4 linked regions of the Pelodiscus sinensis genome follow. The protein of the gene in region 1 purifies or fractionates together with the protein of each later gene. This does not show direct contact. Links are inferred from orthologs where the notes say so. Each region holds a gene or a part of one and is shown in the gene's direction. Other genes may lie near its edges. The genes, in order: STX18, SCFD1, SEC22B and NBAS.

Evidence for each region.
Region 2: the proteins of STX18 (region 1) and SCFD1 purify together in Homo sapiens (affinity purification with mass spectrometry; 5 studies listed by BioGRID and IntAct, counting the BioPlex papers as one, with this or other methods). This does not show direct contact. The link is inferred for Pelodiscus sinensis from reciprocal best matches to the Homo sapiens genes STX18 and SCFD1.
Region 3: the proteins of STX18 (region 1) and SEC22B purify together in Homo sapiens (affinity purification with mass spectrometry; 5 studies listed by BioGRID and IntAct, counting the BioPlex papers as one, with this or other methods). This does not show direct contact. The link is inferred for Pelodiscus sinensis from reciprocal best matches to the Homo sapiens genes STX18 and SEC22B.
Region 4: the proteins of STX18 (region 1) and NBAS purify together in Homo sapiens (co-immunoprecipitation; 5 studies listed by BioGRID and IntAct, counting the BioPlex papers as one, with this or other methods). This does not show direct contact. The link is inferred for Pelodiscus sinensis from reciprocal best matches to the Homo sapiens genes STX18 and NBAS.

The regions. Positions count from the first base shown.
Region 1 is NC_134715.1:110,695,868-110,703,184, reverse strand, and holds the start of STX18 (syntaxin-18), read left to right. Parts: upstream 1-4,270; 5' UTR 4,271-4,397; coding exon 4,398-4,559; intron 4,560-7,317. UniProt on the Homo sapiens protein: Syntaxin that may be involved in targeting and fusion of Golgi-derived retrograde transport vesicles with the ER.
Region 2 is NC_134714.1:51,540,947-51,549,018, reverse strand, and holds the start of SCFD1 (sec1 family domain-containing protein 1), read left to right. Parts: upstream 1-5,007; 5' UTR 5,008-5,115; coding exon 5,116-5,146; intron 5,147-8,072. UniProt on the Homo sapiens protein: Plays a role in SNARE-pin assembly and Golgi-to-ER retrograde transport via its interaction with COG4. Involved in vesicular transport between the endoplasmic reticulum and the Golgi.
Region 3 is NW_027465903.1:289,687-297,672, reverse strand, and holds the start of SEC22B (vesicle-trafficking protein SEC22b), read left to right. Parts: upstream 1-4,947; 5' UTR 4,948-5,044; coding exon 5,045-5,119; intron 5,120-7,789; coding exon 7,790-7,899; intron 7,900-7,986. UniProt on the Homo sapiens protein: SNARE involved in targeting and fusion of ER-derived transport vesicles with the Golgi complex as well as Golgi-derived retrograde transport vesicles with the ER.
Region 4 is NC_134713.1:22,930,357-22,937,494, forward strand, and holds the start of NBAS (NBAS subunit of NRZ tethering complex), read left to right. Parts: upstream 1-4,069; 5' UTR 4,070-4,110; coding exon 4,111-4,230; intron 4,231-7,138. UniProt on the Homo sapiens protein: Involved in Golgi-to-endoplasmic reticulum (ER) retrograde transport; the function is proposed to depend on its association in the NRZ complex which is believed to play a role in SNARE assembly at the ER. Required for normal embryonic development.

The DNA.
Region 1 (7,317 bases):
AACTTAAATCATGCCAAACCACATATGTTGCCAGACCAGAGAGTGCCAGACTAGAGAGGTTCAGCCTGTATTAATTTCAGTTCTTCTGTGGCAAGTGGCAGGATTTTGAGGCCTCTGCAGAGGTTCTACTCTCTGAGGACTACCATGGGAGTTTATGGGCCAAAAGCAGGATGGGGAACTGTCGGAGAAGAGTTGTAAGTTACAATATATGTAGATCCACCAGCAATTTACACATACGTTTTTTCCCTTCCCCATGAAGGCAACTTACAGAAGTTAGTGGTGGGCTGAGACTAAAGCACCATCATAGTCTGCTGAGTGAGACTGCATTCCCCTCTATGCCTGCAACATCCTCTTGCACAAAGGCAAACTGCTTGTGCTCAATCTGGGGAGAATGAATTTTCCTCAATAATATTAAAAACAACATGTTATTTCTTAAAATTGTCTCCAGCCCTTCCATGGAGTTGCTAGTGTCATTGCTAGACAATTCAAAGTGCAATTTACTATTGCCCCCTCTTCCATCACCAGTGTCCTGTTCCAATACTACCATTGCCCCTCTGCTGAATGGTAACAGCTGTCCAGGGCCTCACAGCTCAGCTTCCCAGTGGAAGAGAAAGCATTGACATAGTAACTTGTTTTATTTACACTTATACATTAGTCATGGAACAGAGGTGGTCAAGAGATTGCATGCAACTCTTCTTTCAGGAATGTAAGCCTAACACCAGTGCCCAGTTCCAGAGGAAAAACCTACTTCAATCAACTAATCAACATGTCTCCACATGGTTGAAAAATGCAGGGGCCAATCCAAACTGGGAATAGCTACTTTTCAGCATACAGCATATGCTACTTTTCTCAGGGCTTGTCTACACTAAGTGATCTCCGAGTGCACTCCCTTTGATGCTAGTAGTCTACTAAGACGAGAAGAGTAGCTGGCATCGATGGGAGAGCAGTCTCCAACCTTACTGAATGCAAGACACCACAGGGAGAATGTCAACTTCAGCTATGCTATTTGCATAGTTGAAGTAGATTGAAGGTGCTGGTAGGTGTAGACAAGGCCTCAGGATTTTTCACACATGGAAGAGAAGTAGCTTTGGTGACCTAACCCCCACTGTAGATAGTGCTAGTTTAATGAAGAAATTCTTCTGTTCACTCTAGTTACCAACTCTTGGGAATGTGGATTATCTTGCAGACAGTGTAGATAGTGTCTACACCAGAGCAAGCGACAGACTTCACTGGGACCTCAGCAAAGTGGGAGGGGAGCTCAACTCTGGGCCCCTAGTAAAGGGCGAGGCCTTGGACAGAATTGGCAGAGTTTTCCGGGGGGGAGTAGCCTTCCCCACCCAGCCCTCAGCACCACCTGGATCATGCTGTATAGGCTCCAGATGCTATTGTCAGTGGCAGTGGCAGTCTAGAGCCGTGGGCCCTTTTAATTGTGGGCTACAGCCCCCCATGCTGCTGTTGGTGACTCTGGACTACACAGAAGCACTGCAGTTAATTTCTATAGTAGTGCACTGCAGCTGTCCACTGTAGCATTAGACATAGCCTAAGAAAAAGAACTTGGACAACAATAACACACTGTAATAGCACCACCTGGTGACACCTGCCATAATATTGTTTATAAGAACACACTGCATGAAAATACCCACCTAAGGCCAGGTCTACAGTTAAAAGTTTTACCGTTAATTTTTTTTTTTTACAACATTGTTATCCTGGCAAAAGCCCTAGTGTAGATGCAGTTATACCAGCTTTTGTTTTTGCCAAATATAGATTGTTTCAGTCATTGAACCAGAAAAAAAGAGATCCTGGCCAAAACATTTTTGTGACTATGTAACTGCATCTGCATTAGGAGGGATTGGCCAGTATTACAATACTGGCAAAATTCATATGCGTGACCCACGCTTTATTAAGTTTGGCTTGTAATGGTTAAGCGTTTACTGTAAGAAACAAAAACAGAATGCTAAGCATAAGTCCAAACTATGCTTTTGGTGAAATATATATCTTTCATGGAAGTAAAAGGAATTAGAGTGCAAAGATTCAAAGACAGATTAAGATCTCTTTTAGTAAATGCAGGAACCCTACCAATTTTTATTTTACGATTCAACTGAAGAAAAATTAGTCCTCAAACCCCAGTTTTGATAGAACTCCTTCAGGGAGCCCTGTTGATTTTAGTTTCAGTAGGGCTCACTCCTCCCCACCACAACTGTATAGGGGCCTCATTGTAGAATGAAAGGTCACTCTCTTCCCCCAGTGAGACAGTCTGCCTGTGGCATGGAGAGTGATAACCCCACGGGTACTGGAACAGAGGATCTCACTGGGGTTGGAGGGGAGACTCATACCCCTTCCCCTGCAGCAGTGAAAGATTTCCTGGAGGCTCACCCCCTGCACACTGAGGCAAAGAGGGGCTCCCCTCTCCCCCCACCACCAGGGCAGTGCAGTAAGGTAACCTTGCAGGCTCGCTGCCCCCCCCCCCCGCACACCCACCCACACTGGGCACTGCAGGCTCTCCCTGGGGGGTCCCCCCACACCGACACTGGGCACTGCAGGCTCTCCCTGGGGGGTCCCCCCACACCGACACTGGGCACTGCAGGCTCTGCTTGGGGATTCCTCTCACACCCACACTGGGCACTGGGGCCTCTCCCTGGGGGTTCCCCCCACACCCACACTGGGCACTGCAGGCTCTCCTTGGGGGTTCCCCCCACACCCACACTGGGGCACTGCAGGCTCTCCCTGGGGGCTCCCCCCACACCGACACTGGGCACTGCAGGCTCTCCTTGGGGATTCCTCTCACACCCACACTGGGCACTGGGGCCTCTCCCTGGGGGTTCCCCCCACACCCACACTGGGGCACTGCAGGCTCTCCCTGGGGGTTCCCCCCACACCCACACTGGGCACTGGGGGCTCTCCTTGGGGGTTCCCCCCACACCCACACTGGGCACTGGGGGCTCTCCTTGGGGGTTCCTCCCACACCCACACTGGGCACTGGGGGCTCTCCCTGGGGGTTCCCCCCACACCCACACTGGGCACTGGGGGCTCTCCCTGGGGGTTCCCCCCACACCCACACTGGGCACTGGGGGCTCTCCTTGGGGGTTCCTCCCACACCCACACTGGGCACTGCGGGCTCTCCCTGGGGGTTCCCTCCACACCCACACTGGGCACTGGGGGCTCTCCTTGGGGGTTCCTCCCACACCCACACTGGGCACTGCAGGCTCTCCCTGGGGGTTCCCTCCACACCCACACTGGGCACTGGGGGCTCTCCCTGGGGGTTCCCCCCACACTGGGCACTGGGGCTCTCCCTGGGGGTTCTCCCCACACTGGGCACTGGGGCTCTCCCTGGGGGTTCCCCCCACACTGGGCACTGGGGGCTCTCCTTGGGGGTTCCCTCCACACCCACACTGGGCACTGGGGCTCTCCCTGGGGGTTCCCCCCACACCCACACTGGGCACTGGGGGCTCTCCTTGGGGGTTCCCCCCACACCCACACTGGGCACTGGGGGCTCTCCTTGGGGGTTCCTCCCACACCCACACTGGGCACTGCGGGCTCTCCTTGGGGGTTCCTCCCACACCCACACTGGGCACTGGGGGCTCTCCTTGGGGGTTCCTCCCACACCCACACTGGGCACTGCAGGCTCTCCCTGGGGGTTCCCCCCACACCCACACTGGGCACTGGGGGCTCTCCCTGGGGGTTCCCCCCACACTGGGCACTGGGGCTCTCCCTGGGGGTTCTCCCCACACTGGGCACTGGGGGCTCTCCTTGGGGGTTCCCTCCACACCCACACTGGGCACTGGGGGCTCTCCTTGGGGGTTCCCTCCACACCCACACTGGGCACTGGGGCTCTCCCTGGGGGTTCCCCCCACACCCACACTGGGCACTGGGGGCTCTCCCTGGGGGTTCCCTCCACACCCACACTGGGCACTGGGGGCTCTCCTTGGGGGTTCCCTCCACACCCACACTGGGCACTGGGGCTCTCCCTGGGGGTTCCCCCCACACCCACACTGGGCACTGGGGGCTCTCCCTGGGGGTTCCCTCCACACCCACACTGGGCACTGGGGGTTCCCCCCACACCCACACTGGGCACTGCAGGCGCTCCCTGGGGGTTCCCCCCACACCCACACTGGGCACTGCAGGCGCTCCCTGGGGGTTCCCCCCACACCCACACTGGGCACTGGGGGCTCCCCTCACGCCCACACTGGGGCACTGCAGCGGGGTTTCCGCGGGGCGGGGGCCTGGGAACGTGCCAGTTGCACTTTGTGCCACCCCAGCGGCTCTGCGCTCCCTGGCGGCTCGGGGCGGCGCCGGGGCGGATAAGGCGGCGGAACCCTGCACGGCGGCCGGAGTTGTGCGGGGAGGACTGTGCGGGTGACCCACGCGGGGCCGGCGTGCGAGGCGGCAGCGGGGTCGCTATGGCCGCGGACATCACGCTGCTGTTCAAAGCCAGCGTGAAGACGGTGAAGACCCGGAACAAGGCGCTGGGGGTCCCGGTCGGCGAGAGCGGCCGGGATGAGCTGCTCAAACGGGGCAGCCAGCGGCCCAAGAGCGACTTCTCCTGCCGGGCCCGCGAGGTGGTGAGTGCGGGGGAGGGGGTGGCGTGGAGGTAATAGAGCAACTGCCCGTCTGCACAGCGAGCCCCATCTCAGCTACAGGTGCCCCGCAGCTCGGTGCCATGCAAAGCGATGGGGGGAGGGGGGAGGAGAGTCTCTTATCCCCCCCCCCCTCCGCCCCGTAGTCTTTTCCTTCGTGCACTTGGCAGCCCCCTCCCCTGCGTGTCGGTCTTTCCCCTTTACAGCCCCCGTGCATCCGCAGTGACCAGGCGGTGGCTCTGCGTGGCTGGTCGGGCTGCGGGGGGGGGGGGGGGGGGGCTTTTAAAAGTTCCCATTAAAACCAACGTGCTGGGCAAAAAAAAAAAAACCTCCCACAAACAACTGCCCGGTAGTCGTTCGTTTACTCTCGGTTGTTCGTGGGGGACTTTTACCCAGGAACAGGAGAGAAAGAACACAAAAACAAAATAATAGCCAGCAGTATGGTTTTCAAACTCAGCAATTGGTGGGGGACGCAGGAGAACCTAAAACTACTCTTGTCCTGACGCTTAAAAAAAAAACTGATCAGCTTTCAGGTTGACATATCCCTTTAAAACTAAGCCCTCCCCCAAGTGACTTGGCAGAGGTAAGGCATGTATATTGCTTATAATGACACGTAGCAGTCTCTGGTGATATTATATAGCCTCTATGCTGTATTCATTATTAGGGTTAATTCTGTTGCATGCGAGTACCAGAATTCCTCCTTTTTTGTAGCCCCTGCTCCTGCAAACATTTATGCTTGAACGTAAATTTACTCAGAAGAATAGTGACATAGTAGTTACTAGATCTATTCTTGTGACTACAGTTAAATATACTATGTGCACAATTAGGTTTTTAGAATTGGGGCCATATAACTGTTGAAGATGTATGTGTATGTTCTGTGTGCAGATAAATATTACATGCTGTACTAATACAGTGTCCTAACCATGTCATAAATTGTATTTACAATGAACTCTTGAGAGCTTTACCTGTCTTCTGTTCATTAATCTCTCTCCAGATTTTAGGCTATCATTCCAACCCATTGAACAGCTTTAATGAATTGCCACTTTTTAAAATCAACTACCAGAGATATTTTTATTGCTGGAGTTGCAGTTTTTAAAACAGTAGGCTAAATTAAATCATGATTCAAATTATGAAGCCAGTGGAGTTGTACCTCTATACACTAGAGCTAAAGTAACCTGATAGATATAAACAAAAATATATAGCCTGCAGCTATTGGAAACAAAAATATGTGTATTAGAGAATATATTAAGAAATATTGACACTTTTTCTGGAGGGTGTCAGCAGAATTGCACTTTTTGGCATAATGTCATGGGGATATTTTACTTTTGACAATATTGGTTATTTGCAGAAGAATGAATTTAGAGGTGGGAGCTAGGGATGTAATAGTGTAGTTGATTAATTAACTGATAAGCAAAAGGTTATAGGTTAATGCTATAGAAGACATGCATTTCCCTCTTTCTCTCTTCCTGCCAGTAAATTTCTGAGTCCTGGCTTGTGATGGGTCCAGGACATACCCCTACTGCGGCTCTGCATTTAATGTGTATTAGAAGCCAGCCAGGCAGGCAACCCAGTTCAGTTCTGGCTCATGCCAGGTTTGGGAGCTTAGACCCCCACTAGACAGGGGCTGCTGCCACCCTGCGCTGCTGCTTCTTTATCAGAGGCAGCAGCACGGAGCAACAGGCAGCTGGTCTGCGAGTGAAGCTTGTTTTTAAACTGACTTCCCTTGCGGACCAGTGTCTGCCTGGCACCCTTTGCTGCTACCTCTGATACAGTGGCTGCCAGGCCTGCCCCCAGGGACTGTAGAATAGTTGACTAACTGATAAGAATTCATGAGGTTACTCGACTACAGGGCATCCTTGCTATAAGTTGCCCCAGTATATGTTGCTTCTGAGCTGGCGTCATTGATGCTTGTGGGAACTGTTCCGTTTTAAGTCCTCCCATTCTCTGTTCTGCACTAATTGGTCTTTTTTTTTAATGACGGAAACGGATGTTAGTCACAGGAAGAAAATTCCTCGCTTTACATCCCTTTGCTATACGTCTACTTTTTTTTAAATGTATCTTGGATGTACAGTGCGGATGCCCTATATTCAGTTAACCAATATTTAACATGAGAGAGCCTCTGAAATAAATATTCTAATTAGAAGTAGTAATGATCCTTTTTATTCAGTTATTTATGCACTGAGACTTTGCAATCTAGCATAGGTGGTAACATTATTTAAATTAAAATCTGATTTAAAGACTATTATGTTAATTTAAAATAATTAATAAAGTTACAGTGGCAATTTGACTTTATCAGAACTGGAAGCTTGTCTCAGGAAATCTCTCATCTTGAATCACTTAAACCTGTAGTCATAAGCACAAGAAAACTTCATATTCCAGGCTTCTGGGCAATAGCATGAGTGCATTCTAGGCAAGTGGAACTGTCAGATATCCTGATAGAAATGTAGCCGTGTTAGTCTGGTGTAGCTGAAACAAAATACAGGTCTATGTAGCACTTTAAAGACTAACAAGATGGTTTATTAGATGATGAGCTTTCGTGGGCCAGACCCACTATTTGATCTGAGGAAGTGGGTCTGTCCCACAAAAGCTCATCATCTAATAAACCATCTTGTTAGTCTTTAAAGTGCTACATAGTCCTGTATTTTGTGTCAGATATCCTGTCTGCCAAACAAGTACAATGGGGTTGACTGGTAGTGGATGCCTAAAACCATGCACAACAATACTGAGATGCCTCTCAGTGACG
Region 2 (8,072 bases), on another chromosome or scaffold:
ATAAAGCATTTCTTGTATTGCATATTTTGCTTTAATTAAGCATTGTAAACCCAAATTAATCCTTGCTTCAATTCTTGTTTCTTCCTAAGAACTTAACACTGAGATTAATTGGTCCTTTTTGTGCTTATTTTCCAGCATATATATATATATAAAAATTACATTATCACTTTCAACTTAATTTCTCATATTCCCAGAATAAATGGCTTTACTACATTTAAAAGTAAATTATCTTTGTGAAGTACAAAATTGTTTCATTCATTAGAAAGTTATGGTGTAGTGATATAAGTTTCTCACTATTTCTATGTCAATCAACTCCTAAAATTTAATTGATTGAACTTGGTCATTTAAATTGCATATGCTCAGTAATTTACCATTATACAAAAAAAATAAATATTACATGAAAGCAAAATTAGGAGTTAAGAATGCTGCTTATTTTAAACCTCCAGTATTAGCCAGTGCTATCTGTTAAACACACAATAGAAAAGCTAGTTAGTACACCATTTATATAATAAACATTCCTTGGATGAGATTAGTGATTCCGATCAGAAGAGGGACCATCGTGGTCATCTAGTCTCACCTTCATACACTAGGGATGTAAAATTCCATTTAATTAAAAAGTTAAATGTAGTATTGGCACTATGTTTACCTGATTTAAAGGGGTTTGGGCTAGAGCAGCCCCATTACAGGAAGAAGTTGCTTCTCATCTTCCCCGCCCCCCCCCCCCCCCCCGGGGGGGCTGTCACTGCTGCTGTAGCTTCCAGCAGCCCTGCACGGGGGCTGAAGCAGCCCTGTGCCCGCAGTTGGGTCGCTCCCAGGTACAGGCTAACTGTTACCTGGTAAGCATCATCTATTAAGAATGATTCTTCATCCGAATCCTACACAGATCATACCTCACCCATTAAATTCTGCATTAAGGCCATAACTTTTGTTTTAGATCTGTCATCTTTTATAAGCAACTTACTTGCTTTTCTTAGAAATTTTATTACAAATAATCTTAAATTTTATTACAAATAATCTTGGGGAGGAGGGACAGCTCAGTGGTTTGAGCATTGGCTTGCTAAACCCAGAGTTGTGAGTTCAATCCTTGCAGAGGCCATTTAGGGATTTGGAGGCCATTTGGTGCAAAACATTTGTTGGGGATGGTACTTGGTCCTGCTGTGAAGGCAGGGGACAGGACTCAATGACCCTTCCAGTTCTAGGAAATAGGCAATCTCCATTAATTAAAAAAAATTTTTTTTAATTTAATAGACGACAGATTTTTAAAACATTGTAGCTTTTTTAACTTTGGCTCTACATTTTAAAAACATAGGAATAATCAAGTCAAATAAGATAGCTTGGAACTTCCATCAGTCAGAATTAGCTGATAGAGGAAGTCTTGCCAAAAAAAAAAAACTTCCTATTTTTTTTTCTTTTTAAAGTGTTAGTTATACAGGCAGTCCCCGGGTTACGTACAAGGTAGGGACTGTAGGTTTGTTCTTAAGTTGAATCTGTATGTAAGTCGGAACTGGCGTCCAGATTCAGCCACTGCTGAAACTGATCAGTTTCAACAGCGGCTGAATCTGGACGCCAGTTCTGACTTACATACAGATTCAACTTAAGAACCCCAGGCGTCCCCAAGTCAGCTGCTGCTGAAACTGATCAGTGGCTGATTCTAGGAAGCCCGGGGCAGGGGCTTCCTGTAGTCAGCCACTGGTCAGTTTCAGCAGCGGCTGACTTGGGGACGTCTCGGGCAGAGCAGCTGGGGTGCTGCTGGGTTGGTCCAGTAGCGCCCCCACTGGACCAACCCAGCAGCACCCAAGCTGCTCTGCCCCAAGCGTCCTGATTCAGCCGCTGCTGAAACTGACCAGTAGTGGCTGAATCAGGAAGCCTGGGGCAGAGCAGCTGGGGTGCTGCCGGGCTGGTCCCGTAGCGCCCAGAGCGGCGCCACGGGACCAACCGGCAGCGCCCCAGCTGCTGTACCACAGGCGTCCGGAGCAAAGCCGCGGAGCACGGGGGCAGCAGGACAGCCCAGACGCGCCGTGGCTGTCCTGCTGCCCTCGGGCTCCGCGGCTTTGCTCTGCTTTGCTCCCCGTCCCCCTGGTCTGCAAACCAGGGGGACGGGGCTGCAAAGCGGCAGAACACGCGGGCAGCGGACAGCCCAGATGCGTCTGGGCTGCCCACGTGCTCCGCGGCTTTGCTCTGCTTTGCTCTGCAGACCAGGGGGACGGGGAGCAAAGCAGAGCAAAGCCGCGGAGCACGCGGGCAGCGGACAGCCCAGAAGCGTCTGGGCTGTCCGCTGCCCGCGTGTTCCGCCGCTTTGCTTCCTCTCCCTGGTCTGCTGGAGACCAGGGAGAGGGCCCCGTTCGTAACTGCGGATCCGACATAAGTCGGATCCGCGTAACTCGGGGACTGCCTGTAATTATATTCAGTGTGTGAAGTAACCAACCTTATATTTTACTTCCAGCACCACAGCATTACATGCAATGCAGATCTTTTCAACAAAGTAGATTTACAGTTCTTCCTTACAATAGGGAATATATACTACAGATATAAAAAGCTTTTAAAAAGTAACCATTAAAAATCTTAGCGGTTTCATGCGCTGTGGGAGCCTGCAGCGTAGCCAGTTCCCTAGAAGGCAGCTGATATGTGCCAGCCCCATACTGCAAAGCCCACAATATCAGAGCTTGCAGCTCAGCGCAGCAGCCGGCTTTCCAGGAACCAGCACACACTAGCAGAAGAGTTTAAGCGCAACTGAAACTGATAAGCTAATGCTTATTGTTTGTTAAACTCTTACATCCCTAATACAGGGTGGCTGTCTCTAGACTGGCCAGTTTTTCCAGAAAATCAGCCAGTTTTCCGGAAAAACTTGCCAGCTGTCTACACTGGCAGCTTGAATTTCTGCAAAAGCACTGACTTCCTACTGTAAGAAATCAGTGCTTCTTCCGGAAATGCTGTTCTGCTCTCGTTCGGGCAAAAGTCCCTTTTGCGCAAAGCTTTCGCGCAAAAGGGCCAGTGTAGACAGCTCAGATTTGTTTTCTGCAAAAAAGCCCCGATTGCGAAAATGGCAATCGGGGCTTTTTTGCGGAAAAGCACGTCTAGATTGGCACAGACGCTTTTCCGCAAATCTAGACGCTCTGTTCCAAAAAGCATTTCCGGAAAATCATGCCAATCTAGATGCAGCCACATAGTTCAATATTTGAAGAGAAGAAGTATTTAAATATGGACAGCATAAAATGCCCTGAGTAGGATCATTAATCTACCTCCAGTTCTATGATTTATACTTTTAAAGTGCCAATTGATATAAACTGGTATTTTTTTTCAACTAGAGAAGCAATAAATTGAATAGATGCATAAAGCTGCAAATAGGTTTATTTTTTTTTTAAAGGGTAGCTTTGTTTCCCTCTATTGGTATATAGTAAATCATTTAAAGTTGTGATACTGTTATTGGTTTAACAAAAGGAAGTTGTCAGTTGCATACAAGCAAAACGGGAATCAAAGACTAGTTTATGAATAGTAGCATGTATATATTTGTTTTTCCTAAAGACTATCTGAATTGTGGAAATTAATGTCTTCTGGTTAAACTAACATTTAGCATGTTATGTAACACAAAGTGAATGTTTGAAAAACATCCATGTTTATTAAAATACACATTACAGAACTTTGGAATTTTGTAACTAGTTTTAGCTTTGTTTTTTTGCCATAATTGTAGTATATAGTAGCTGAAATCTGTTGCAGCTTTCAAGTACCATACTTAGCATCTATGTCAATGTTACTCCATGAAATAAATACATTAATTGTGGGAGACAACTGTCATGTGTATAAAATCTTTTGAAGTGCAATAAAATAACTGATTCAGTTAGTAAGCAATTGTATTAAAAGTGTATTTTCTTCAAAAGCAGTTAAACTTCATTTAGAAAATGAAGTGATTGTGGCATCCAGGGTGTAGCACAGGGGCAGGCAAAATATGGTCAGTCAGAACAGCACATGGTCGCCAGAGGGGCAGCTCTGAGCCCTGTATGGAAGCATGGTAGGCAGGGAGCCTGCCTGAGGGAAGTGCTGGGCTGCTGCCCAAGAGCTGTTTAGGTAAGCACCTCTAGGCCAGAGCCTGCCTTTGGCACCTCAGCCCCTCTCTCCAACCTTCTGTTCTCTTGTAGGGTTGCCAGATAGTTTCACAAAAAATGCCAAACAGGGTGGGGGAAAAAAATTGGTATAGCAAAAAAAAAATAAAGATGGGGACCAAAGCTGTTGAGCACTCCCCCCCCCCCCCAAAAAAAAAACCCAGGGACCAAAATCGAGCAAAAAACCAACCACACAAAAACAGAATCATACTCCTCCTTGCCCCTACCAAAAGTGGCAGGGGAAGAATGTCCCAAGCACTTTTCTGTCCAAGAAAATCAGAAAATACATTTTACATGCCTGGTACTTTCTGGATTTTTTTACAGGACATAAGCTGCCACTATTGGACACCTGGCAACCCTATTCTCCTCTCTTCCCCCCCTCCCCACCCTATGTAACTCAACTGCTCTGCACCCCAATCTCCTATCCGAGGTCACAGCCCACCTGCACACCCTCCTGCTTGCCTGCCCTAGGGCTCAACCCCCTCTAACACCATACACTCCTTCCTGCACAAGTCAGAAGCCCCTCTTGCATTCATATCCCCTCCTGGATCCTCTACCTCCTCCTGCACCTTGGTGGTCTTCCAGCCCTCCGGCACTTCCTCCATTAATATAATTGAAGAGTGTGTCTCTTAACTTATTCAATTCTTGGCAGGCTCACCCCGATCAAAAATTATTGGCCACTCCTAGTGTAGCAGCTACCGTAGTAACAGGAGCACGGTGGCAGATCTGAAATGCCTACAGTGAAGGTGTTCAAAAGTATTTAACTACCTAACACCCGCTGCGCACAAGTCCTATTTATCGGTAGTGCTTACGTCACAATTTTTCACTATCCATCCAGTCGCAGAAGCTACCGCCGCCAAGCCCCGCCCCTTGGCTCTGCTTGCTGTTCAGGGGCAGGGCACGGCGCGTGACGCTGCGGCGCGCCAATTGTCCCCGCCCCCCGCTCTGCTTCGACTGAGGAGACGCGCCACGTCGCCGGCTGGTGCGTACGCGAAAGTGGGCGGGGCTGGCCGTGAAGATGGCGGCCGGGATCCGGGAGAAGCAGACAGGTGAGGCGCTCTCCTGTCTAGTCCTGCCGCGCAGCCGTGTCACGGGAGGCTCGCGCCGCAGCTGCCGCCCCAGCCCGGGGGCGTGAGCAGGAGACTCGGGGCCGCACCTGGCTGCGGCTACAGGAAGATGTGCAGCGGCTGGTAGCTGTGCTGCCCAGCGCTCCGGCCGCGGGAGCACGGGATTCACTCACCCTCCCGCGGGCAAAGGGTAGCAGCGCGGGGCCTGTAACAAGCGCCCCCTCCCCGTCCGGGCGTTCCTCTTGAGGGGGGGCCTGTCAACTCTTGCTCCACCCACCCCTCTGAAGCCCCGCCCGCGGGGGGGGGGGGGCTCTCGCACGACTTCGCCCAGAAGCCCCAGCCACTGGCCATCAGCTGACCCACCTCGTCAAGCCCCTAGCGCCCCACTGAGTTCCGCCTGCCCCTGATCCGCTCTCCTAGAAGAGGCCCCAACTCTGCTGCGAGTTGGCGCTCACCTGACTAGTCCTACTCGATCCGGGCGAGTAGAATGTCTGGAAATAGTTGAGAATGGGCTTTCTGGAACCATTACTGTGATAGAGGACTGCACTGCAGAGACTTCTGGAATGTAAAAAATCATAATTACATAGAGCCCAGGGCACCAAAATCCCCAGACTTTGGCTTTCCTGTTGCAAACTAAGTAGACAAGTGAATGGGTGAGATGGCACAAATTATGCAAAAGAAAGTGGTTAGTACATTTGTTGACTTCTGGAAACTGTTTCTCTTTGTTGTGACTCTGTGACAAGAGCAGGCTGAAAACAAGGTGTGAAGACAGAAATATGAGTCTTTGGTGCATGTATTTGCTATTAGCATTAAACAAAACACCTGGGAAGTATATGAGTCCTGGAGAGTCAAGGAGATAGGGAAAAAAATGAAGTTAAATAGGATGAACATTAGGGAGACTACTATTGATAATAGGGCTAATGCATCAACTTTTTTCTTAGGCTAAATCTGTACCACTTCAGTAAGTCTACCTAAGGTATGCAACTTCAGCTATGTGAATAATATGCCTGAGTACTGTGTATAGATATGGTCTCCTCACCTCAAAAAAGATATTTTGGTATTAGTTGCTCTTTTCTGAACCTTTTCTAAAATGATTAGGAGTTTGGAATGGGTCCCATATGAGGAGAGGCTAAAGAGACTGGGACTTTTCAGTTTAGAAAAGAAGAGACTGAGAGGGGATATGATAGAGGAATATAAAATCATGAGTGGTGTGGAGAGAGTGAATAAAGAAAAGTTATTTACTTGTTCTCATAATATAAGAACTAATGAAAATAATGGGTAGCAGGTTTAAAACTAATAAAAGAAAGTTCTTCTTCACACAGCGCATAGTCAACTTGTGGAACTCCTTGCCAGAGGAGGCTGTGAAGGCTAGGACTATAAGAGAGTTTAAAAAAGAGCTAGATAAATTCATGGAGGTTAGGTCAATAAAAGACTACAGGCAGTCCCCGGGTTACGTACAAGATAGGGACTGTAGGTTTGTTCTTAAGTTGAATCTGTATGTAAGTCGGAACTGGCATCCAGATTCAGACACTGCTGAAACTGACCGCCAGTTCTGACTTACATACAGAATCAACTTAAGAACCCCAGGCGTCCCCAAGTCAGCTGCTGCTGAAACTGATCAGCAGCTGATTCCAGGAAGCATGGGGCAGAGCAACTCTGCCTGGGGCTTCCTGTAGTCAGCGCTGGTCAGTTTCAGCAGAAGCTGACTTGGGGACGCCTGGGGCAGAGCAGCTGGGGTGCTACTGGACCAACCCAGCAGCACCCCATCTGCTCTGCCCCAGACGTCCTGATTCAGCCGCTGCTGAAACTGACCAGCAGCGGCTGAATCAGGACCTGGGGCAGAGCAGCTGGGGTGCTGCCGGGTTGGTCCAGTAGTGCCCACGGGCGCTGCAGGACCAATCGGCAGCGCCCCAGCTGCTCTGCCCCAGAGTCCAAAACAAAAGCCTGGTCTGCTGGGGGGGGGGGGGAGCACACTAGCTGCGCCCACCCCCAGCAGACCAGGGACACGGGGAGCAGAGCCGCAGCAGCAGCGGGGTGCCGCGCCTCTGAGGCTTTGCTCTGGCAAAGCCTCAGAGGCGCGGGACCCCCCCGCGGCTGCGGCTTCAGTCCGGGTGCCTGTGGTCTGCTGGGGGCCGTCCCCAGCAGACCACAGGCACCGGGTCTCAAGGGGCAGCAGCAGCGGTTCCCGCGCTTCTGAGGCTTTGCTCTGGCAAAGCCTCAGAAGCGCGGGAACCCGCCCGGTGCCCCTGGTCTGCTGGAGACGGTCTCCAGCAGACCAGGGGCACCGGAGCAGCTTATCAACGGGGCTTTCTCGCCCCGACTTCCGGGGCGAGAAAGCTCCGTTCGTAAGTGCGGATCCGACGTAAGTCGGATCCGCGTAAGTCGGGGACTGCCTGTATTAGCCAGGGGTAAGGAATGGTGCCCCTGGCCTCTGTTTGTCAAAGGCTGGAGAAGGATGGCAGGAGACAGTTTTCTTGATCATTGTCTTTGGTCCACCCCCTCTGGGGCACCTGGCACTGGCCACTATCAGCAGACAGGCTACTGGGCTAGATGGACCTTTGGTCTGACCCAGTATGGCCATTCTTATGTTCTTTAAAAGCGTACACATTCAGGTATGCTCCCACTTTTCAGTATGGCAGTGCCCACCATCTGTTTGTGAGTTAGTCTTCAGAAACGTTTCGGCCCTATGTTTTGTGTTCTTCCTGCTATAGGAAATGATAGAAAAATAATTTTCCTTCTGAAAAGATGCAAACTTGCTAAGAGCCTGGGAATCTAGAGGTCTAATGGACAGAATTGAGCTGAGGTATAGGAAACATTCTGGCAGATATTTTAATAAACTAAATTGTCACTACGTTACATTTTGTCCCATTGATAAGAAAAATAAATTCTATTTTCAGGTTTAAAGACT
Region 3 (7,986 bases), on another chromosome or scaffold:
GGGCGCGCGTCCCAGCGCTAGCCCCCGAGCCCCCCGCCCCCGCGCAATGGTCCCGGGGCGCGCGTCGCAGCGCTAGCCCCCGAGCCCCCGTCCCCGCGCAATGGTCCCGGGGCGCGCGTCGCAGCGCTAGCCCCCGAGCCCCCGTCCCCGCGCAATGGTCCCGGGGCGCGCGTCCCAGCGCTAGCCCCCGAGCCCCCGCCCCCGCGCAATGGTCCCGGGGCGCGCGTCGCAGCGCTAGCCCCCCGAGCCCCCCGTCCCCGCGCAATGGTCCCGGGGCGCGCGTCCCAGCGCTAGCCCCCGAGCCCCCGTCCCCGCGCAATGGTCCCGGGGCGCGCGTCCCAGCGCTAGCCCCCGAGCCCCCGCCCCGCGCAATGGTCCCGGGGCGCGCGTCCCAGCGCTAGCCCCCGAGCCCCCGTCCCCCGCGCAATGGTCCCGGGGCGCGCGTCGCAGCGCTAGCCCCCGAGCCCCCGTCCCCGCGCAATGGTCCCGGGGCGCGCGTCGCAGCGCTAGCCCCCGAGCCCCCGCCCCCGCGCAATGGTCCCGGGGCGCGCGTCGCAGCGCTAGCCCCCGAGCCCCCGCCCCCGCGCAATGGTCCCGGGGCGCGCGTCGCAGCGCTAGCCCCCGAGCCCCCGCCCCCGCGCAATGGTCCCGGGGCGCGCGTCCCAGCGCTAGCCCCCGAGCCCCCGCCCCGCGCAATGGTCCCGGGGCGCGCGTCCCAGCGCTAGCCCCCGAGCCCCCGTCCCCCGCGCAATGGTCCCGGGGCGCGCGTCCCAGCGCTAGCCCCCGAGCCCCCGCCCCCGCGCAATGGTCCCGGGGCGCGCGTCCCAGCGCTAGCCCCCGAGCCCCCGTCCCCCGCGCAATGGTCCCGGGGCGCGCGTCGCAGCGCTAGCCCCCGAGCCCCCGCCCCCGCGCAATGGTCCCGGGGCGCGCGTCCCAGCGCTAGCCCCCGAGCCCCCGCCCCCGCGCAATGGTCCCGGGGCGCGCGTCGCAGCGCTAGCCCCCGAGCCCCCGTCCCCCGCGCAATGGTCCCGGGGCGCGCGTCCCAGCGCTAGCCCCCGAGCCCCCGTCCCCGCGCAATGGTCCCGGGGCGCGCGTCCCAGCGCTAGCCCCCGAGCCCCCGCCCCCGCGCAATGGTCCCGGGGCGCGCGTCGCAGCGCTAGCCCCCGAGCCCCCGTCCCCGCGCAATGGTCCCGGGGCGCGCGTCCCAGCGCTAGCCCCCGAGCCCCCGCCCCCGCGCAATGGTCCCGGGGCGCGCGTCGCAGCGCTAGCCCCCGAGCCCCCGTCCCCGCGCAATGGTCCCGGGGCGCGCGTCCCAGCGCTAGCCCCCGAGCCCCCGTCCCCCGCGCAATGGTCCCGGGGCGCGCGTCCCAGCGCTAGCCCCCGAGCCCCCGCCCCCGCGCAATGGTCCCGGGGCGCGCGTCGCAGCGCTAGCCCCCGAGCCCCCCGTCCCCGCGCAATGGTCCCGGGGCGCGCGTCGCAGCGCTAGCCCCCGAGCCCCCGTCCCCGCGCAATGGTCCCGGGGCGCGCGTCCAGCGCTAGCCCCCGAGCCCCCGCCCCCCGCGCAATGGTCCCGGGGCGCGCGTCGCAGCGCTAGCCCCCGAGCCCCCCGCCCCCCGCGCAATGGTCCCGGGGCGCGCGTCCCAGCGCTAGCCCCCGAGCCCCCGTCCCGCGCAATGGTCCCGGGGCGCGCGTCCCAGCGCTAGCCCCCGAGCCCCCGCCCCCGCGCAATGGTCCCGGGGCGCGCGTCGCAGCGCTAGCCCCCGAGCCCCCGCCCCCGCGCAATGGTCCCGGGGCGCGCGTCCCAGCGCTAGCCCCCGAGCCCCCGTCCCCGCGCAATGGTCCCGGGGCGCGCGTCGCAGCGCTAGCCCCCGAGCCCCCGTCCCCGCGCAATGGTCCCGGGGCGCGCGTCGCAGCGCTAGCCCCCGAGCCCCCGCCCCCGCGCAATGGTCCCGGGGCGCGCGTCCCAGCGCTAGCCCCCGAGCCCCCGCCCCCGCGCAATGGTCCCGGGGCGCGCGTCCCAGCGCAAGCCCCCGAGCCCCCGTCCCCGCGCAATGGTCCCGGGGCGCGCGTCCCAGCGCTAGCCCCCGAGCCCCCGTCCCCGCGCAATGGTCCCGGGGCGCGCGTCGCAGCGCTAACCCCCGAGCCCCCGTCCCCGCGCAATGGTCCCGGGGCGCGCGTCCCAGCGCTAGCCCCCGAGCCCCCGTCCCCGCGCAATGGTCCCGGGGCGCGCGTCCCAGCGCTAGCCCCCGAGCCCCCGTCCCCGCGCAATGGTCCCGGGGCGCGCGTCCCAGCGCTAGCCCCCGAGCCCCCGTCCCCGCGCAATGGTCCCGGGGCGCGCGTCCCAGCGCTAGCCCCCGAGCCCCCGCCCCCGCGCAATGGTCCCGGGGCGCGCGTCCCAGCGCTAGCCCCCGAGCCCCCGCCCCCGCGCAATGGTCCCGGGGCGCGCGTCGCAGCGCTAGCCCCCGAGCCCCCGTCCCCGCGCAATGGTCCCGGGGCGCGCGTCCCAGCGCTAGCCCCCGAGCCCCCGCCCCCGCGCAATGGTCCCGGGGCGCGCGTCCCAGCGCTAGCCCCCGAGCCCCCGCCCCCGCGCAATGGTCCCGGGGCGCGCGTCCCAGCGCTAGCCCCCGAGCCCCCGTCCCCGCGCAATGGTCCCGGGGCGCGCGTCCCAGCGCTAGCCCCCGAGCCCCCGTCCCCGCGCAATGGTCCCGGGGCGCGCGTCCCAGCGCTAGCCCCCGAGCCCCCGTCCCCGCGCAATGGTCCCGGGGCGCGCGTCCCAGCGCTAGCCCCCGAGCCCCCGCCCCCGCGCAATGGTCCCGGGGCGCGCGTCGCAGCGCTAGCCCCCGAGCCCCCGCCCCCGCGCAATGGTCCCGGGGCGCGCGTCGCAGCGCTAGCCCCCGAGCCCCCGTCCCCGCGCAATGGTCCCGGGGCGCGCGTCCCAGCGCTAGCCCCCGAGCCCCCGCCCCCGCGCAATGGTCCCGGGGCGCGCGTCCCAGCGCTAGCCCCCGAGCCCCCGTCCCCGCGCAATGGTCCCGGGGCGCGCGTCCCAGCGCTAGCCCCCGAGCCCCCGTCCCCGCGCAATGGTCCCGGGGCGCGCGTCCCAGCGCTAGCCCCCGAGCCCCCGTCCCCGGCCAATGGTCCCGGGGCGCACGTCGCAGCGCTAGCCCCCGAGCCCCCGCCCCCGCGCAATGGTCCCGGGGCGCGCGTCCCAGCGCTAGCCCCCGAGCCCCCGCCCCCGCGCAATGGTCCCGGGGCGCGCGTCCCAGCGCTAGCCCCCGAGCCCCCGCCCCCGCGCAATGGTCCCGGGGCGCGCGTCCCAGCGCTAGCCCCCGAGCCCCCGCCCCCGCGCAATGGTCCCGGGGCGCGCGTCCCAGCGCTAGCCCCCGAGCCCCCGCCCCCGCGCAATGGTCCCGGGGCGCGCGTCCCAGCGCTAGCCCCCGAGCCCCCGTCCCCGCGCAATGGTCCCGGGGCGCGCGTCCCAGCGCTAGCCCCCGAGCCCCCGTCCCCGCGCAATGGTCCCGGGGCGCGCGTCCCAGCGCTAGCCCCCGAGCCCCCGCCCCCGCGCAATGGTCCCGGGGCGCGCGTCGCAGCGCTAGCCCCCGAGCCCCCGCCCCCGCGCAATGGTCCCGGGGCGCGCGTCGCAGCGCTAGCCCCCGAGCCCCCGTCCCCGCGCAATGGTCCCGGGGCGCGCGTCCCAGCGCTAGCCCCCGAGCCCCCGCCCCCGCGCAATGGTCCCGGGGCGCGCGTCCCAGCGCTAGCCCCCGAGCCCCCGCCCCCGCGCAATGGTCCCGGGGCGCGCGTCCCAGCGCTAGCCCCCGAGCCCCCGTCCCCGCGCAATGGTCCCGGGGCGCGCGTCCCAGCGCTAGCCCCCGAGCCCCCGTCCCCGCGCAATGGTCCCGGGGCGCGCGTCCCAGCGCTAGCCCCCGAGCCCCCGTCCCCGCGCAATGGTCCCGGGGCGCGCGTCCCAGCGCTAGCCCCCGAGCCCCCGTCCCCGCGCAATGGTCCCGGGGCGCGCGTCCCAGCGCTAGCCCCCGAGCCCCCGTCCCCGCGCAATGGTCCCGGGGCGCGCGTCCCAGCGCTAGCCCCCGAGCCCCCGCCCCCGCGCAATGGTCCCGGGGCGCGCGTCCCAGCGCTAGCCCCCGAGCCCCCGTCCCCGCGCAATGGTCCCGGGGCGCGCGTCCCAGCGCTAGCCCCCGAGCCCCCGCCCCCGCGCAATGGTCCCGGGGCGCGCGTCCCAGCGCTAGCCCCCGAGCCCCCGCCCCCGCGCAATGGTCCCGGGGCGCGCGTCCCAGCGCTAGCCCCCGAGCCCCCGTCCCCGCGCAATGGTCCCGGGGCGCGCGTCCCAGCGCTAGCCCCCGAGCCCCCGCCCCCGCGCAATGGTCCCGGGGCGCGCGTCGCAGCGCTAGCCCCCGAGCCCCCGCCCCCGCGCAATGGTCCCGGGGCGCGCGTCCCAGCGCTAGCCCCCGAGCCCCCGTCCCCGGCCAATGGTCCCGGGGCGCACGTCGCAGCGCTAGCCCCCGAGCCCCCGCCCCCGCGCAATGGTCCCGGGGCGCGCGTCGCAGCGCTAGCCCCCGAGCCCCCGTCCCCGCGCAATGGTCCCGGGGCGCGCGTCGCAGCGCTAGCCCCCGAGCCCCCGCCCCCGCGCAATGGTCCCGGGGCGCACGTCGCAGCGCTAGCCCCCGAGCCCCCGCCCCCGCGCAATGGTCCCGGGTCGGGCTGGACTCCAGGGCCCCTCCTCTGAGCCTCGCGCGCCGCCCTGGGGTCTGCTCGCGGACGCTGCGATCCTGCCACTGGCAGCTCGGCACGAGGGCCCGGCTGCCGGCCGATTGCAGAGCCCCCTTCGCCCCTGGGCAGCCCTACCCCCCGGGCCGCTCCGGCCGGAAGCGAGCGGCGCCGGCCGGGCTGCGTTTGGGGGGGACCGGAAGTAGCCCGGTACTTCCGGCGAGGGCGCCCGGATGCTGAGTTGGCTGTTTCCGGCCACCTCAGTAGTCGAGGCCAGGCTGAGGGTGGCGGGGCCGGGCGGCGCCCGGGGCGGAGCGGCGCGGACATGGTGCTGCTGACAATGATCGCGCGGGTGGCGGACGGGCTCCCTCTGGCCGCCTCCATGCAGGAGGATGAGCAGGTGAGAGCGGGGCCCTCCTCCCGCGCGGCCCGGAGCCCCCCGCCTGCCCAGGGCCCCCCTTCCCGTGCCCCCCCGCCTGCCCAGGGCCCCCCCCGCCTGCCTAGGGCCCCCCTTCCCGGCCCCCCCCGCCTGCCCAGGGCCCCCCTTCCCGTGCCCCCCCGCCTGCCCAGGGCCCCCCCCGCCTGCCCAGGGCCCCCCTTCCCGGCCCCCCCCGCCTGCCCAGGGCCCCCCTTCCCGTGCCCCCCCGCCTGCCCAGGGCCCCCCCCGCCTGCCCAGGGCCCCCCCCCGCCTGCCCAGGGCCCCCCTTCCCGTGCCCCCCCGCCTGCCCAGGGCCCCCCCCGCCTGCCCAGGGCCCCCCTTCCCGGCCCCCCCGCCTGTCCAGGGCCTGCCCAGGGCCCCCCCCCGCCTGCCCAGGGCCCCCCTTCCCGTGCCCCCCCCCGCCTGCCCAGGGCCCCCCTTCCCGGGCACCACCCCGCCGCCCCCCTTCCCGGGCGCCCCCCCGCCTGCCCAGGGCCCCCCTTCCCGTGCCCCCCCGCCTGCCCAGGGCCCCCCTTCCCGTGCCCCCCGCCTGCCCAGGGCCCCCCCCGCCTGCCCAGGGCCCCCCCCGCCTGCCCAGGGCCCCCCCCCGCCTGCCCAGGGCCCCCCCGCCTGCCCAGGGCTCCCCTCCCGTGCCCCCCCCGCCTGCCCAGGGCCCCCCCTGCCATCCCCCACCCGCCCAGGGCCCCCCTGCCACCCCCCGCCTGCCCAGGGACCCCCTTCCTGGGCCCCCTCTGCCACCACCCTGCCTTCCCAGGGCTCCCCTCTTCCTGGGCCTTCTTTGCCGTCCCACGGGCCTTCTCCCTTCCCAGACCCATGTCCCCCATCCCAGGCTCAAGTCTCCTGATGCTCACTGTCTGCTTTCCAGCCCAGAATGCCCCCCTCCAGACCCTCCCTTTCTGGCCCAGAGCGCCCCTCAGATTGAAATCAATCCCTCGGGGAACAGAGGCTGTAAAAGGGTGGTTTGGGTTTGTGCCTTCTCAGAAGATTGAGGTACTGCTTGAGTTTGCTGGCAGGTGTGAGTTTTAGGCAGCTGATGACCTCTGCCACTGTGCTTCTCACCCTGTGACTCCTTGAAGATGAAACTCACCCACCTCCTGGCACTCAAGAGACATAAAATAACATGTTAAGGGGTGATTAGGGCACTGACCACCGAGTCAAGTACAGCCTTATCATTCTGGAATCTAACGGTACCATTTTAATGGTAGTTGGAGCTTTTTTGCAGTTCAGCAAGGCTACTTGTGTTATGAGCCACTATAATATTCATTAATATTAAATCTACCCACCCATAACCAGATTTGTAATTTTGCCACTTTTTTGACTAGTTACATTATATATTATTTAAATTAATACTTGCACCAATGTTCTTTTCAGACTATTAATATAAACATTTTGATGACACATTTTAAAAATGCTTATTAAAAGCCCTGCTAAAACTAGTTATAACCAAAATGGAGCCACAATATAATTTTGGATCATGTCTTTAGTACTGTCAAGGGGCTGGGGGTTGGTTTTTTTTAGCCTTTTTTTTAACACTAACAACTTTAATTTTCTGTATTTCTCCACACTTAAATACAAATTAGGCTTTGGTTAAAGTTAGCTTAACGTATTTTATAGGCTGCAGTGGTCTCACCCTCCATTGCTGAAAGGGTCTTTTGTGTTGTGTAGAACTGCCATCTCTCCAAACTATGCTATTCTTCCATCAACAGCTCACAGCCTTCCCCCCTTCCCGGAATCATGCCCTCCAATTTCTGGAGGGTCTGCTGACACTCACTGTCCATTTTCCAGCCCAGAAAGCCCCCTCTTCAGACCCTCCTTCCTAGCCCAGAGTCCCCCTCAGACTGAGATCAGGGGGACAGAGGCTGCAGTTGCATCGGCAGTGGGGGTTAGTTTAGTACAACATGGCTGTTAGTGAGGTGAGTGGCTTTTTCACTCCATGCCTGATGCAGCTATTTTGATTGAACTTTAAGTGTATCCCAAGCACCCTGGGGAGAGGTGGAAACTAGATTTGGCATCAAGATATAGGCATTCCCTTGTCCCACAGTGTTTGGACTTAGAGAGAGAGAGATTGTGTCCCCCCTAGTAACAATGAAGTTCCCAAAGACTCTTTTTCCACAGAGATCCCAAAGTAGATCAGAACTATATAAGAAGCCAAGACTCACCCCTCAGTGCCACTGAGATTCTCATCCTTGCATACATACATGCATGCTTTTGAGGAAGCAAGCTAATTCTCCTGGCCAGAGAGAGATTGTCATTCCTGCATTGTAAACCCAGGGTTAGTAGAACTCAAGTTCTACTGACACATGTTCTCTGGGCCAAGACCCTCTGCAAGAAATGCTTAAAAAAATCCCCAAACCCCAAAAGCCACAACTTCATAGGGACTTCCAAAAATGGGGACTGATGTATTCATCAGAGGTAGATTCCTGAGATCTACCAGCATGTACTACTTAGTTTGATTGTGCCCATCAACTTCAGATCCAGTTCTGGTAAAACTCTTTGCAGTTAGCTGTGGACATTGTATTAGTGTCCTTCTGGGAAAAGGGCCTGCCTGTGCCTTAAAAGACTGTTGTATTGTTTGCAGTTCACTGTGCCATGTGGTAGAACCTGGCCTAATAGACTTTTTCTGCTTCTCAGTCAGGTCGGGACCTGCAGCAGTACCAGAGCCAAGCTAAACAGCTTTTCCGGAAATTGAATGAACAGTCACCTACCAGATGCACCCTAGAAGCAGGATCAATGGCTTTCCAGTAAGTATAAAGTGCTGTAGAGGTGGAAAGTGTCAGCATCCCAACTTACGTTTTTAGAAAACCAAAAGGTACTTCCAGAAGACATTA
Region 4 (7,138 bases), on another chromosome or scaffold:
GCTGCAGATCAGCTGTGCAGCGGCTTCCCCTTTGAAACACCGCATTGGGGTTTCAAAGCGGCAGTGCCGCATAGCTGATTCCCGGCTCAGTTGTGTGGCACTGCTGCTTTGAAGTACTCCCCCTCTTTTCTGCCTCTATCTCATAGAGGTAGCAGGGAGGTGGTGGTGGTGGTGGGGAATCGACTAGTTGACTAGTCGAGAGACTATCCGATACGCATTTGCTAGTCCTTAACATCCCTAACCCATTCAGTGTACCTAATTTGAAACCACACAGAGACTGACCAGATCAAGATCATGTTGTGAATTGTAACCCAGCTAGTAAACCTGAGACCATGAGCCAAACTGAACCCAAGTTCTGAATCCTCATTCAGACTCAGTGTTGTCCGCACCAAGTGTTCAAGGACTATTTGTTGTTTTCTCAAGACTGAAGAGTCAGGCTTCCAAATCTGAAAATATTCACTTGAAAATCTGGGGTTTTTTTGTATCAGAGGGGTAGCCGCGTTAGTCTGAATCTGCAAAAGTGGTGAGGAGTCCTGTGGCACCTTATAGACTAACAGAAGTGTTGGAGCATAAGCTTTCGTGGGCTAAAGCATCTGACAAAATGGGTCTTCGCCCACGAAAGCTTATGCTCCAACATTTGTATTAGTCTATAAGGTGCTACAGGACTTTTCGCTGCTTTTGGGTTATTTTTGTCACAGGTTCAAGGGACTGCACTCTCTGCTCCAAGAAGGCTACTCACTCTAGACTTCCAAGTCATCAACTCTCTTGGACAGAGCTAGGATCTTGCTGCAACTTTAACAAAAATACCAAATACCAAATAGAATGAGAATTACAGTACAATTTAGGGTGCATGTATACTGCACCCTTAGCTCAAAATAAGCTACTCAATTTGAGCTATGTAAATTCCATAGCTTATTTTGAGTTAATTTTGAAATAGAGTGCTATTACAAAATTGTCGTGGAATTATGTTTACACGGATGTCTTGAAATAGCGCTGTTGTCTAGACACACCCTTAGAAAATTAGTAACACTGCTCATTTAATCCAAAGCTGAAACTGAACTCTTGACTTGAACCTAAGCCCAAACTATCTGTTTACTTTGAATATTTTATCTTTAAATTATACAGTTGTTGTCACCTCTAAACAAGTAGATTGGTATAGCCTGGTTTCATAGTTATTTAATCTTCTAGAAGAGTATGTTTGTTTGAAAGTATCTTTACTTACACATACGGAATAATAATCAGTTCTAACTTATTTTTAATAATCTATTCCTGAAGTCCTTACTCAACTTTTACTGCTCAGTTTCTGCTCTGTTTCTGTTGAAACAAACTCCTATTGACAAGAACCTCTATTGAGTGAAAACCTCTGGATCTGGAACTGTAAATATAGGATTAACCTCAAACTGGGAACTAAACAAGTGTAACTTCACCATTTCACATTATTTGTGAATTTGGCCAATTATAAACTAGTTTATCAAAGAGAAAGCATGAGAGTAGAGCATCATGGTGATTCCTTCCTGTTGTCAAAATGATACACAGAACTTTTAAAATTCCATTGAGACTTCCCCAGAGAGAAGAAGAAAGCACCTTGGTGTAGATTTCATCCAAAGGACAGCTTCTATAACAATGCAATATGTACTATTGCACAGTGGCATGAATAATGGCTAAACTAATTCCTGTCATGAGAATTGAGTTCAGCACCTTCTGTCCAAGTGTGTTACCATTTAGAGCATATTCATTGTTACTGACTTATTCTGGTGTATATGAGAAGGTAAGTATTAGGAATATTGCAATAAATATTCTAGTACTTTAATACCAGATTTCGTTTGTCACCAGTGGTGTTTTGGATCGTTTTTGTTAGCTGTCTTTCATTAGTAACCAAAGACCAAAGGCCATATTTTAGTGGGTATCAGTTTCATCTCTGCTATACACCTTTGCATTATATTCAGATGAGATCAATTTTAATATAGTTTGTTTAAATGATGTTTATTTTCTGGCTCCTCTTTGTACTTTACAGTCCTTAACTCATTTCTATCTAATCCATCATCTTCATGTTTTACATTTCAATGGAGTCATAAAATATTATACTAATGCAATTATTTTAAAAAAAGTTGAGGTGCCCATGTGAAGCTGTTGAAGCACTTGTTGCCAGATCTGTAACGCTAAAGGAAAAATGTACTGTGAACCTCATATTGTTCTTATAAATTGTGAACATTGGACAGATGCACTGCTGTTGTCACCCTTTTACCTTGAAAAACATAAATAAATTAAAAATATTAATCTAAAGAAACAATCAGAACTCAGTAGAAATTTCTTCTCAAATGGCACTATTTCTGTAATGTTTAATTTAAACCGTCTATGGCATAGAGTGCTAGGCCTTGTAATTCCACACTTTTGTCAGTATCTAAAACTAGACCACATAGCTGACTGCAAATTTAAAAAGAGATTATTAAAATACTAAAAATAGAAAAGGTTAGCAGTAAAGTGTGATCTTCTTTTTGTTGTAAGAAGTCTACATTACAAAAAATACTATACACACATTTAAAAAAAATACTATGTAGTTTATTATTTTCTTTGTGTTTCTCCTAAATTAACACTATTTGTCTCGATGATTGTGCATTCTAGGGTGCTGATCCTGTAATACAGTGGTTCTCAAACTTTTTGGTCTATGGACCATCCGCCTCAATGAAGACCTTTCTGTAGACCACCAGCTGCAATGGAAATTCAGAGTTAATGACATAATTATGCCTGAGCCATTTTGCAAGTCCTGCAGCTAAGGAGAATGGTTTAATTTAAATTATTAAACAAATTAAGTGTTTGAACTTTCTCCTGTTAGTTTATCAAACTTCATTTTAAATAAAGTATTAATTTATGTCGCAAACAAAAGGTTTCAATGTTTTCTTTATTTATGGTGTGGAGGCAGGAAAAGGGAATACGGGAATTTGTGTGCAGCCATCTTGGTCTTGTTAACAAGAGAGCAAGAGTCAGGCTAAGTCTGTGGCCTGACAACGCGAGATCTGTACTTAGACACTGCCTTTGCCTCTTGCCTCCATACGGAGATAAGGATAGAATGCTGACTCTAGCAGGGACCTTGAGATAAGGAGCATCTGGGTGGAACTAAATAACTGTTAGCCATTGGTGTCTGTAATGGGAAGGAGACTAATTGTTGTTGTTATTATATATAATGGACAGTATATAAACTCTTCATAATTGCTTGTATCTGAAGATCTGCCTTGGGGGGACTTCCCCCCCCCCCGTCCGAACCAGTTTTTCCCTTGCTGCAGCTTGTAATAAAACTGCCTCTGGCTACTTGTTGCTTACAAACTCAGAGCGAGGACAATGTTTTCTTCCACAATGGAATGGGCAGGGAACCTTTTTTGGGTTGGGGGGCCACTGACCAATAGAAAAATCAGCTGGGGAACACACAAGTGAGAAACAGAAGAACTACGCCAACCGTCAGTGATGTGGCTCCCACCTGAGACACCTCAGGACTCTGGGGGTGGGGAGAAAAATGAGAGTTTCAGTGTGCTGGATGGGCTGCTAGTGAGTGAGATAGGGATGGGGGTGCAGGATCTGGGGAACAGGAAGGGGTGAGGGTGCAAGGTGTGGGTGGGAGGTAGTGTGCAGAAGCAGGCTGGGTGTAGGGTGTCCGGCCGGGGGGAAGGAAGCAAGAGCAAGGGAGGGTGCAGAGTGTGGTTAAAGTGAACACTTAAAGGTGAAATAGACAAAACAAATCATCTTGACATGAGTAATTACACGTTTTTAAAATTTTAAATGTTTCATTTTAACTTAAAAAAATGTGTATTTTGGGATTGACAAAAGGGCCATCTTTGGTTCCAAATTTGTTCTAGAGCCATAGGTTGCAGACCCCTGATATATTATAGTATCATGAGCTCATGATACTATATATAGTTGTATTCGTTTCTAACAAAAAATATGGTGCTACTGGACCACTCGTTGTTTTTTTCAGTTTTTTTTGGTGTGGCCGTGGCCTCCACTTGCCCTATGCAGACAGCAGCAGAGCGGAAAGGGTTAAACATCTCTTTCCCTCCTCCCCGCCAGGAGGAGTGAGTGAGAGGTTTGTCCGCAGCCGGGCGCCGTAGCTGGTGTCTCATGGCTGCTGCCGCTGGGAGCTGGGAGGCGGCGGCGGGGGTCGCTAGCGGGGACGAGGAGGAAAACATCCTCTACGACCTGCTCATCAACACCGAGTGGCCGCCGGAGACCGAGGTGCAGGTCAGTCTGCCCCCCCCGCCCCCCCGCCGCTCAGCTGGGTGGGAGTGACCCAGGTGGGGGCGGGGTGGCCACGTTGAGCCCTGCAAGGCGCGGGAGGGCGGGCGCACGGCGCGGTCTCCTTGTCCCCCAGCGACGAGGGGTCGGGCTACCGTTGGGGGCACCTTCCACGCGCGAGACCCCCCGTCATCCCGAGCGAGCGAGGGGCCTTCTTCTCTCCCGGCTACTAAGGCTGCTGGGGCCACCCTGGCAGGCAGCGGCTCCTGACACCTTAAGGAGCATCCCGGGCACGTACCAAACACCTGGCGTGTGTCGCTCAGCCAGGGGGGAGGCGGCCCGCTCCCGTTTGGCACCTCGCTCCTGCACGCGGGCTGCTGCAGTCCCGGGGTGCGGGGAGCCCTTGAACACCGCTGTGTGCGCTGTATGATGGAAAGCGCTTCAAGCCGGCGTTGCCGCTGCCCCTTTGCTTTTTATACCGTTAACCAATATTGGTGAGGTTTTTGCTTTTTAGCAAAAGTACAGAAGGCTGTCGGGTAGAAGTATTCGTTGTGCAATTTACTTTGAGCCTGCTCTTCAGAAGAGGTTAGCTAACAGCGCCAAAAGAGTCAGTACGGGTTGCACTTAGGGAAACCAGGCCCTCTATCAAGTAAACAGTGTATGATGCAAAATGAAGTTATTTCCTATTAAAGCTATGGCAGGTCTTGGTTGGCAGATCTGCCCCGTATACTGAATGGGGAGAACATAACATACTTCGTGTGTTTTACAGAGGATGGCATAAGTAGACATCAAAGCACAAAAGTTGGATATTATTTAAACTTTACTAATTGGAAGATGGTAATTTGTTGAGGTTCTGTTTGTTCTGTGTGAGCCACTGAGAAACCTTGTTTTCAGTGGCTGGTGAGTAGTGGCTTGGCCGTGTATCCTCAGGGACAAATTTTTCATCTTCCATTTATTTCTCTATTCTTTTCCACTTTGTGCTAAATCAGCTGTCTGTCTTACATTTTAGAGGTTACATTTCTGCTGTAAAGTTGTTCCTTGTATTTATGTTTTGATTTCAAATTGTTTGTGTGTGTAAAATACGCACCCCTCCCTTTCCCCCAATACTAGGCATGTCAAAGTGTAGTTGACTATAAGATTAACCGATAAGCTTAGTCTTATCAGTTAGACTTGTCAATTACACACATTTCTAGTTAAAACACAGATACTTCATGAAAAATTTAATTAGGGAAATAACTGAGCAAACAGTGTTTTAATTTCCACTTTCTAGTTAATGGATACTAAGAACACTTTTCAAGAATAGAGTACTGCAATTTCTGCAGAAATCCATAGGTATTTGCTTCCAATTAATTTTTGTGGCTATTGGAGCAGATGTGTAAATCATAGAATACTAGAACTGGAAGGGACTTTGAGAGGTCATCAAATCCAGTTGCCTGTCCTCACGGGAGGACCAAACACTGTCTAGATTATCCCTGATAGACGTCTGTCCAACCTGCTCTTAAATATCTCTGGTGATGGAGATTCCACAACCTCCCTAGGCAATTTATTCCAGTGTTTAACCACCCTGACAGTTAAGTTTTTCCTAATGTCCAACCTAAACCGCCCTTGCTGCAATTTCAGCCCATTGTTTCTTATCCTGTCATCAGAGGCCAAGGAGAACAATTTTTCTCCCCCTCCTTGTAACATCGCTTTAGATACAGGCAGTCCCCGGGTTACGTACAAGATAGGGACTGTAGGTTTGTTCTTAAGTTGAATTTGTATGTAAGTCAGAACTGGTACATATTGTAGGGGAAACTCTAGCCAAACATTTCTCCAGAGCTCCGTTTTATTCTCCCACACCTCACTTCCCTCAGTCCTTTATTCTCAAGCTGAGGTGTCTGCTGAGAAAAGCCGCTCTGCGTCTCCCTGGTCTGCTGGGGGGAACAGCTAGTGCGGGGTTGCCTCACCCCGTTTGTAAGTAGGGATCTGATGTAAGTCGGATCCATGTAACCCGGGGACTGCCTGTACTTGAAAACTGTTACCATGTCCCCTCTCAGTCTTCTCTTTTCTAAAATAAACAAGCCCAGTTCTTTCAGTCTTCCCTCATAGCTCATGTTTTCTAGACTTTTAATCATTCTCGTTGCTCTTTCTCTGGACCTTTTTCAGTTTCTCCACATCTTTCTTGAAATGTGGTGCCCAGAACTGGACACAGTACTCCAACTGAGGCCTAATCAGGGCAGAGTAGAGCAGAAGAATGACTTCTTGTGTCGTGCTCACAATACTCCTATTAATGCATCCCAGAAGCATGTTTGCTTTTTTGCAACTGTTCAGAAAAAGGACTCTATATGGGTACTTGTCCTGCTTTGTCCTGCCTGGTGCTTACTGGGAAGAAGGATCGGGGTAATATCTGCGGAGGAGTGTGGTGGAGGCAGGGTGCTTGGCAGTGCCTTGCAGAGAAGAGTGGGACAAGCATCCTGCCCTAACCACGCTCCTCCACACACATTCCCTGACCCCACTTCATAGTTAGGAGCACCTCTGGGAAAATATGTTTAAAATCATAATTAAAGACTGCATGATAATGCATATGCATAGGGAGACTGAATTTTAAGATTGCCCGGGGAACCTTAATGTGTGTGGTAGGCAGCTAAAAACATCAATGCTTAATAGATATTTCAAATGGGCACATTGTCATTGCAAATGTAGATAGGAGCCTTATATAGATTTTATTTCTGAAATGTTCTAACAGTAAAATTTGAAGCTGTCTGTCAAACATGAATGTATCGTAAAAGGAGGTTTCTTAATGGATTGGAAGAAGGGTTTCTCTGTAACTGCATGGTGCATGTAAGGCTCAGTGGAGATACATTAAAGGAGAATACATTTTAATGTTCCTAATAGAGTAAATGACTTACTTTTAGGGATTAAAAACAATTGAAGA